2 linked regions of the Caenorhabditis elegans genome follow. The protein of the gene in region 1 interacts with the protein of each later gene in a pairwise test. Each region holds a gene or a part of one and is shown on either strand. Other genes may lie near its edges.

Evidence for each region. Proteins that work in one complex are often made in the same cells at the same time.
Region 2: the proteins of pygo-1 (region 1) and tbx-39 interact in a two-hybrid assay, tested with the Caenorhabditis elegans proteins (one large-scale study listed by BioGRID).

What each region holds. Positions count from the first base shown.
Region 1 is NC_003282.8:5,081,386-5,087,446, reverse strand, and holds pygo-1 (SH3 domain-containing protein), read right to left. Parts: upstream 4,145-6,061; 5' UTR 4,065-4,144; intron 3,905-4,064; 5' UTR 3,901-3,904; coding exon 3,718-3,900; intron 3,238-3,717; coding exon 3,116-3,237; intron 3,061-3,115; coding exon 2,802-3,060; intron 2,746-2,801; coding exon 2,264-2,745; intron 2,217-2,263; coding exon 1,342-2,216; intron 1,192-1,341; coding exon 1,016-1,191; 3' UTR 560-1,015; downstream 1-559. Other genes in the region: ivd-1 (Isovaleryl-CoA dehydrogenase, mitochondrial), read left to right, coding at 1-56, 109-423.
Region 2 is NC_003282.8:15,322,056-15,325,698, forward strand, and holds tbx-39 (Putative T-box protein 39), read left to right. Parts: upstream 1-1,837; coding exon 1,838-2,034; intron 2,035-2,086; coding exon 2,087-2,273; intron 2,274-2,327; coding exon 2,328-3,134; downstream 3,135-3,643. Other genes in the region: Y73F8A.15 (DUF38 domain-containing protein), read left to right, coding at 1-125.

The DNA.
Region 1 (6,061 bases):
CTTTCGATTATGCTCACCAGAGAACTGCATTCGGACAGAAGATCGGATCATTCCAGGTGAGATTTTAAAAAATTACAATGAGATTATTTCAATTCCAACATTTTTCAGCTCCTCCAAGGAAAGCTCGCCGACATGTACACCACCCTCAACGCTTCCCGTTCTTATCTTTACATGGTCGCCAAGGCAGCCGATAAGGGAAATGTGTCGAATAAGGATTGTGCCGGTGTGATTCTCTATGTCGCCGAAAAATGTACTCAAGTGTGTCTCGACGCGATTCAAATTCTCGGCGGAAACGGATACATCAATGACTATCCAGCTGGACGACTTCTCCGCGACGCCAAGCTTTACGAGATCGGAGCCGGAACTAGCGAGGTCCGTCGTCTGATCATTGGACGTGCTCTCAACAAGGAATACTCCAACTAATAATTTGCCCAGTGATCTCTGTTTGTTTTCAAATTCTTCAAAGGAGCTTTTCATCTGAAGGCCCGCTCGTCTTAAATTGTGACTATAAACCGGTCGATTCCCCCTATAGCGTTTAATTATAATTAATAGTAAATTTAGATGTAATTTTATAAAACAATGAAATTAAAAAAAAGAGAAACCATGTCACTTGAAAAAGTATGGATGGAAAATGAAACATAAAATACAGGGCAATTTTGATGAGAAAAAGTTCAAAGAAGGAAAAGCTCAGTATAGAGAAGAATCATTTTGTGTATCTGTGCGAATGGAAGAGAATGGAGAAACTTGTTGATACCGGTAAAATACAAATGGTGAGGATTTTGGTGGGTGATGGGAAGGTAGAGCTGAGTTCAAACCTAAAATTGCATCTTCTCAATCTATTGAGAATTTTGCGGTAGCTTAGGCAGATCTAGAACGGCTGTGGGATAGGGGGACTAAAGCAATTTGGGGACAAGGGGAAACTATCCGGATGAGCTTATTCATTTTACAGGTTGATTGGGTAAAATAGTTAAAACAACATTCAACAAGAAATATACTAGACTACTAAATACAATCATCATCGGGAAACGGGCGTTCCTGCTCCAGAACTGGAAGAAGCTGGAAGAGGTGGTGGATAGTGTGGTGTCAATTGCCACATATTGGCGCCCATCATCGGATGATGTGGATTGCCCATTTGAGCAGCTGCAGCTTCTGCGGAGCCAGCTCGATTTCCGGCAACCATGAGAGCGGGATCTGGAAAAATTCAATTTTAGAAGCACAAACTTTTGGCATTATTGAAAAATTAATGAAATATTTTGCAATGTTCCGAAAAGTAGACCAGATAAAGTCATAGGAAATTGAAATTTTTCTGAGAAATTTAAAACAAAGAAAAAGAAAACTCACTTTGCGGAGGTTGCGGAGGTCCGTGTGGCATCCCGGGCATTCCTTGCATTCCCGGATGCATCGGCGGCATTCCCTGCATTCCTGGATGCATTGGTGGCATACCGGCCATACCTGGATGCATGCCAGGTGGCATCATTCCGGGCGGCATCATTCCGGGCGGCATCATCCCTGGTGGCATCATTCCTGGATGTCCTGGCTGCCCACCTTGTGCATGCATTGCTCTCATCATCATTATGTGGTGGTGATACATTGGATTGGCCGGATGATTCGGTGGGAATTGGGAAGGATGAGGATGATGGGGAGACGGTGAGGCACCCATTGGTGACGCCCGAGCTGCAGGAGACATTCCGGCGGCTGCTGCAGCAGCGGCAGCTTTTTGAGCATTGAAATGAGCCATTTGAGCTTGCTGCATTTGCATGAAATGTTGTTGTTGCTGAGGTGTCATCATATGGGGTGGCATTGGTGGTCCTGGCATTCTACCTTGTTGCATTGCAGCCATCGCTGCTGGTGATGGAGCACTTTGAGGGAATGATGGGGATCCGAACGGCATTTTTCCTGGTGCAGACATAGGATATCCTCCTGGAGTCATTCCGGGATGCATTCCATATGGATTCGGTGGGAATGGTCCGCCCATTGGTGGATACGAGGCTCCTGCAGAAAATGGTGCTCCGGGTGGCATCATTGGTGGCATTCCCGGATAATGCATTGGTCCTGGATACTGTCCAGGTGATGGGTAGGATGGTGGCATTGATCCTGCGGCAGCGGCTGCTTGTTGCATTTGCCTCATTTGAGCTTCGCGGGCTTGTTGAGCAAACTCTTCTCCGACTGACTTTCCGATGACGTCTAGTTTTTCCATTTTTAGCGTACGTTCGTCTCTGAAAATTAGAATAAAGTTTAGATAATTTTAAAATTATAAACTCACTTTTTGCTAGCTTCTACGACTTCATTGATAGTGTTTCCACCTCTAAAATTCGAAGAATTCGCCATCATCTCCAGCTTTCTCATTGGATTATTGTCGTTCTCTGATCCTTCAATTTTCGCTTGCTTCATTGGACCATCATTCCCGAATTCTTCAGTTGCTCTTCGTTTTAGAGATGCATTTGAAGGTGGGTTCGAGTTCGATGTTGATGGCATTTGATGGTTGAAACTCAGCTGATTTAAAGGACTCGAATGATGATTATTTAACATTAATAAACTGGTGTCCGGCTGATGATGATGATTTATCGAATTTGGATGGGTATTCTGGTTCTGGTTCATTTGTGGTGCAGATGATGTCGATGGAGTTGATGAAGACGCCGCTGATGACATAAAATCTTCCAGTGTTGGACAGATTTCATCCAATTCGACTGGTGAACTCATGCACTGCATCGGATCATTTGATCGAGGGTTATTCTCGAGACCAAACTGAAAAATCAATTTTTATTTCAATAATTTTTGATTTTATTTTTCAAAAAACTTACTGGACTGCATGAAAAACCGTTGAGACCACCGTGCGCCCCATTCGTACTGCTTGTTCCACTTTGATGTGATGATGGCTGAGAAGACATTGGCGTTGTTGAGCCTTTCTCACTGACGTAGGATGGAGCTGTTGAATTTCCTACGGAGCTTGTTCCGAGTGCCGGCACATCGTCACGTTGAAGTTTATACCAGGTAATTAGCGAGTCGAACTTTTCCTTTTCTCGCTCAATGTCCAACGCAGCTTGGTTTATCATATCAGTTCTGAAATAATCAAGATTATGTCATTTAAAAATTGATTTTTTAACAGGAAACATACGTGAAATAATAATACTCTTGCTCCGCCGCCTCGAGCGGCGTAGCTACTCGTCTTACAGTTGGTGGAGACGTGATTTCTTGGCTTGACGGAGCTGATCGACCGTGTGCAGGAGATGACTCAGGCTGAAATTTGTGCTGGTTAGGAGATTAATAAATTTCCTGATTTAAAAAATGATGAAAATCACGTTGAATTCAGTAATTTTAATAGGTTAAAATTAAAAAAATTATCAAAAATTTAACTTCGAACACGAACAGTTAACAGTAGAGCGCGTTTGCTCACTAAAAAATAGCGGTTCTGTGGATTTCGATTCATGAGATAGCTACCGATAGAAACGGAAATTACTCAGGTTTGAAATTTTTTAGATGATCAGTTAATTTTTTTTTAATTGAAAATAGAAGTTGAAATACTTTTTCTTTCTCAAGAGCTATTTATGATCGTCTTCAACTTCTCGACTCCACCCCATTTTTTGAGGTTTGCATTTCTCCGATGTCAACGCTTTCAAAGCTTTTAAAAAATTGGAGGGAAATTTGAAATTTTCAGTTTTTAATTAGAAAATTGTATTTTTCGCTAAGACTTTTGAAAAAAAATCAAAAAATGCAAACCTGAATGTCCTGACTAGTGGATGGCATAGTCAACGTTCTATCGGCGTCATCATTTTCCTCCTCCTTGACAACTTCAGACTTCACTAACGACGGAGAAGCAGTCGGAGTGACGTCTTCATCTGCGGAAGTGTGCTTTTCGTCTTCTTCTTTTGAAGACGGTGACGATGTTGAGCTCGCTGGCATATTCCTGAAAATTGTGACTTTAATAGAAATTTCGGAATTTGTTCGAAACAAAAAGAATGCAAATCAAACATCAAAAATGTTCATTTTACTTCATTTCATTGACAGTATTGTTGTGTTTTATAGTGGATGGTGATAAGAAAGTGTGAACAGGAAAAAAGTCTTACCGTTGAAAATTTTATTAGCGCGTTTTTTTTTGTTTCTCTCCGTTTACTTTGGCACTGCTTTCATTGACAGTTATTGGTTTCTGGAAGAATTAAACAAATTAGTAGGGTCATGATTTGAATTTTTTTGAATTGAGACACAAAAAATTGATGGAAGATGATGAGAAATCAAGAAAGAGAGAGAGAGTGAATGGCCAGGTGCGTGTGCCTGGTAGAGACCGGTGCAGAACGAATCGAAGGAAAAAAAACGGAAAGTGATAGAGGGTAGGGTGAAGAGATTGAGAGGAGAAACAAGAAGAAACACAGAAGACAAAAAAAATGATGGGCTGACGTAGAAATTGGACGGGAAAAATGAGAAGAGTTCATGCTCAAGAGTTCATGAACTAAAGATCATATTGGGCTGAAGCACAAGGTTGAAATGATGGTAAAGGTGGAGTAAAACTTTTCAAATGATTTTTGAAATTTTTTATTTTGTTTCAAAGTTGTCATTCTTTCCACTATTTTGGAAGTCGTCAGGCAAAAAACATTTTTCTTCAAATTTAATGATCTACTTATGTTTCAAATTTTTAATATTCAAATACTATATTTCGAGATTCAAATATGCTACGGTTCTAGTTGTGTCAAATAAAAATTCGAAAAAATTCTAGTTCTACGCAAAACTTACTGTTTCAACAAATTTATTAATTCAATCAAAATTCTGTTATTTCTAAAAATCTGATGTAGAAAATTGGTAGACTATAGAAAAATAATTTTAAATTGATATACGATGAAAAAGTAAAGTACTGTCCAGAGAATCGGGAATGAAAAAGTTCCAAAATGAATTAGTGTTCTACGCGAAAATTTACTGTTTCAACAAATTTATTAAAGGAATTAGACGTCTTCAGTGATTTTTGTATATGCAAAAAATATATATATAATTAACCAGTGGTATACTGAACCTTCGGTCCCCGACTTCAAGAGCTGAATGATGATTCTTAAACTACAGTAACCCTACCGTACTCCTACCAAAATTTCACAAACTACAAAGACTACATACAGTCAACGATACCTAATATTGCCCACAAATGGCAAAAGTCTACAGTAATACCTAACACATCTAGTAATATTCCAACAATCTGATTACCTAGTATTTGACCATAAACCTTCACTTCCAATGACTCACCCAACAACTCTTCGTAAACAGAATAAATTGAAAATAACATTAGGATCCGAGAGATCACAGAGAAAAGGCCTTGAATTGGCAAAACGCCAAGTGGTGTAGTTCTGGTGGGTGGAGGTGTGTCCTCTTCTTCTTCTGGGGCGCGCGCGCCAACAGGCAAACAGTCCGATCACGAAGGAACAATTAGAAATCAGGAGGTCGCAGAGAAAAAGGTGTCGGGCGTACTGGGCACCAAGGGCGTAGGGAGATAGAGAAGAGAGGATCAGACTCAACTTTTACTTTTTTGGGAGGTGGGGAATATGAAACATTATACAGATAGTATTGAATTGGGGATATGAAGACAAAAAAATATTGTTTTAAATAAAATATTTAGAAGCTGTAGATTGCAACTCATTTGATGCTCCGTAATCAAAAATTTTCAATTAAAAATTTTACTGTTTCAACTGGTAATCAAGTAAATTAAAAGATGGAGCACCACAATAGTTATGCCAAAACTTCAAAAAATTTCGTTTTTGAAATATCTTCAAGTTTATTTTCCAAATTTTTTCAATTTTTAGAATTTTGCAGCCCAAAGGTCCTGGCCAGAGAATGGAATAAATGGCAGAGTTTTATCATATTCTAGGCCACCACTAATAAATATGTCATACTCAAGCAGCTCCACAAATGGAATGAATGAAAAGATAGGGAAAAAATAAACCGAACAAAAAAAGTAAGAGCCTTCCAATGTGAGAGTGTAAGAGACCGAGTCATCCAGGCAGAGCAATAGCATCAAAACCGGGGGACACATACACACGGGAGGGTCTTGGGCCCCTTTCGAAAACATTGGGACGCTGCAATATTC
Region 2 (3,643 bases), about 10 Mb from region 1:
AAAATGAAATCAAGTTCAATGTTTCACATGTAGTTGGGCCAAGAACCAATATTGCTGATTTCTATCTATTGCGTGAAGGAGAAGAAGGAAAATGGAGACTTAAATCTGGAATTGTTATCAATTAATATTCCATTGTGATGAATGAAGTAGTACTTGATTAGAATAAAGAAGTTGCTCGAAAAGAATTTTTGTAAAGTTCTGATAATTTTTACTGTTTCTAAACGTTGGTAAATCTAAACGCATAACTTGTTGTTGATATTAATATGAATTTTAAAAATGATTTTTTGATTCCAGTTCCAATCAGAAAATATTGTTGGGAGAAAAACATAATAATTGCAAAACATGGTGACAAAGTTATCAGGACATTGAAACATAATTTTAATTTCAGCATTAGTTAATTTTTCGGAAAAAAATACAATTATATGCACATGGAATTAAATAGAATGGCTACTCAAAAAAATTCTGTCTTTAACTTTATCAAAATTGTTTATCTACATATTGCGTGTTTCACTATAGTAATTTAAAACACTCCGTAAATACTTTTGTATTACAATTTTAATTTTAATGTCAACATGCATAATATGCTCAATGATCCGTTCAACCTGTATTCCTTGATTGTTTTTGGATATTTTTGAATTTGTCAGCTCAATAGTTTAGTTATGTACATATATATCTCAGTAAATTGTAAACCGAAGCTATATTCTTACCGATAGAAAAATATTCAAGAAAAAAGTAACTTCTGTTGGGATTTTAATTAATTAATTCATATTTTCGAGAATAAATGTGGCATATTTCACTAACATCAATAAGGCCACCAAACAAATTGTCTTACTCTCATTAATGCAGCAAATGTATCACAATGTTGAAACAGCAATTTTTATTTTTTTTTTAATTACAGCTTATTAATTCTCTCTTTAAGAATGTGATGTCTAATACATATTTACTAATACTGACATAGTGTTTTGCAGAGCGGAGTAGAATTTTCATCCAAAATAGAAACTTTTCAAATAAATCCTTTTCTGTCTGAAATTTTGTTATTAAAATAACGTTTGCAATGAAATGTAAACCTATCATTTTCTATATTTTCAATTTTGTAAAAGTATACACTTTCTCACTTTTCTGCTTATTATCTATCAAAAGACTAAATATATTTTCCCAGTACATAAAGTTTACAACCATTTGGATTGTCAGGTGTGTGTCCGGAAATCGATCGAAAAGGAATGATATGTCAAGGAGAAGGAAGTAGAGTTGTAAAGTGGTGGATGTTAAGGTGGGGGATACCTTGCACCTATTGTCATTATGTGAATGACAATTGGGAAGAATATAGGTCACCAGTGGAACTGTAACGTAATGTTTTGGAATAGACAACTTTGACATGAAATATTAATATGTGAAAAGGTAATCTGGAATAGAGAAGCACGCAGAAAATTGACACTACAAAATAAAAGTCTAAATGTGGATATCCTTAAATAATTTGCTTTGGATCGGGTTTTAGTATTTTTATTTTAAATTAGTAACTCGGGCGTTTTTATCAAATGCGGCAGCACTCAAAAAGTTACTGTTTCAATATAGTGATTAAAAGGACATCACTATATAAAGTACGATTTCCAGTTTCAAACAGTTTTTGTTGAGCAATTCTAAGAGAGCAAGTGAATACAATCAATCGATAATTGGTTGACTCAACCCAGTGCTCAGGCTCCGCCCACTAAGTGGGGTCTAAAACATTAAAGGGATAGAGAGGATCATTCATTATAATATTTTGTTTAGTATACCGTTTTTTTTCTTTCATACTTCCTATTAATATATGTTGATTTTTTTTCAATATTCAGATTCAATAATGTTTTCACAAGCTCAATTCAATGTTACAATGGCTGAAGAAGACCGATGGAAACAATGGTATCCAAATATGGAAATGATTGTGAATAATAAAGGGCCGAAACTAATTTTTCCCGAACTCAACTTCAATATTACTGGATTGGAAGAGAAATCGAGATATGTTGTACTTCTTTCAATTGAAAAATATGACAATATCAGGTATTTTTTAATGATTTTCAAAGTCACCATTAAAGACAAATCTTAATTTCAGATATGGATACCGAAATGGAAAATGGGGACCTTCAAAAGTCCGTCATGCAACGAAAAAAGAACAAGAAATCAAATATTTCTTACATCCAGATGGAACAAAACTTGGAAAGGAATTGATGAAGGAAACTATTAAATTTGATACAGTCAGGATTACGAATCACAAAAAATTCATGGACAAGGATAATGTGGTTAGTTTGAATTTTTAATTCACTAAATAATATTATAATTAATTTTTATTTCAGTTTTTCGTGGAAACAATGCACAAGTATGTTCCAGTCCTCACTGTCAAAAATATCACGAATGTTGAATCTGCAAATCATTCTATGAGAATGGAAGTAGCCCAATTTTTCCCAGTCACAGTATACAATCAAGAATCGATCGGAAATTGGAAATCTAAATTTCACAAGAACTCAACATATGGAAATAGATTGGATGGGGGAAACAAGAGAAAGAATACTGATTCGAGTGAAGAGCGAACATCAAAACGATCAAAAAATGAAACAGAAATTGCTGTTTCGGATATCCTTCAAGTTGCCTCACAATCAGAAAATTATAATGAGTCCACGAATTCTGGAAGGCTTCAAAATGAGATCAGTTCCTCTATTCACCAGTTCCCATCAACTTCCTATCAAAATCAATATCCACATGCGTATCCAACAGTCAATACTCCACCAATTTATGTTCAGCAATTCACAGCTCTATTTGATGAAATCCACAATCAATTCGATCCGAAAACTAAACAAAATAGGGTTGCAAAAAATGTTCAGTATCTTTCAAGTGTACCACAATTTGCGATCAATCAAAAGGAAAATATTCATCAGAATGCTCCAGATTACCCAGTCTCTCAATTTCCAAATCAATATCCATATGGTTCCTATCCCTATTATTATCCATATTTTCAATCCAGCCAACAGTTTCCACATCTCAACTATTCCATGAATAACTCTATTTATTCTGATTCCTCTTTCCAGTCATCATTTTCTGCTGAAAATTCATATTTCGATGAAAATGGAAATCCTATCCACTATCCATATTATTCTAGCAATTAATTGTCACTTCTTCATTACTAACCCTTGTTTCCTATTTTTTTCAAATTTTCCTGTGATTGTTTTGACTTCTCTGTCCATATTGACTTTAGCTCATTTTGTTTAATTCTGTAAATTATTTCTCACCTAATTTTCTGTTTCTAGTCGCAATAATTTGTAAATCAATTTTCTTTTAATAAACTTTTAACACTAATCTTGCTTTACCGTTATGATAAAAGGGCTCAGAAATTCATACATTATTCATTTTCAAAATTAAACATTGCACTATTAATCCACTATTGAATAAAAATAATTGCCAAAATTACAATTTAATATTATAACGTGATGGCAAAGTTTTCTAAATGCGCGTCCAATTTGTTTCATTTCTGCAAACACCGCGACGACAAATTGCATACCGGGTGTCAGGGCGGGCGTGAGGGGGGCGCGGGAAAGAGGCGGGCGAAGGGCGCCCCCGACACACCTCGCCCGGATGGAAAGCCTATTATGGAGCTGCTTAGCAAAAAAGTTTGCTT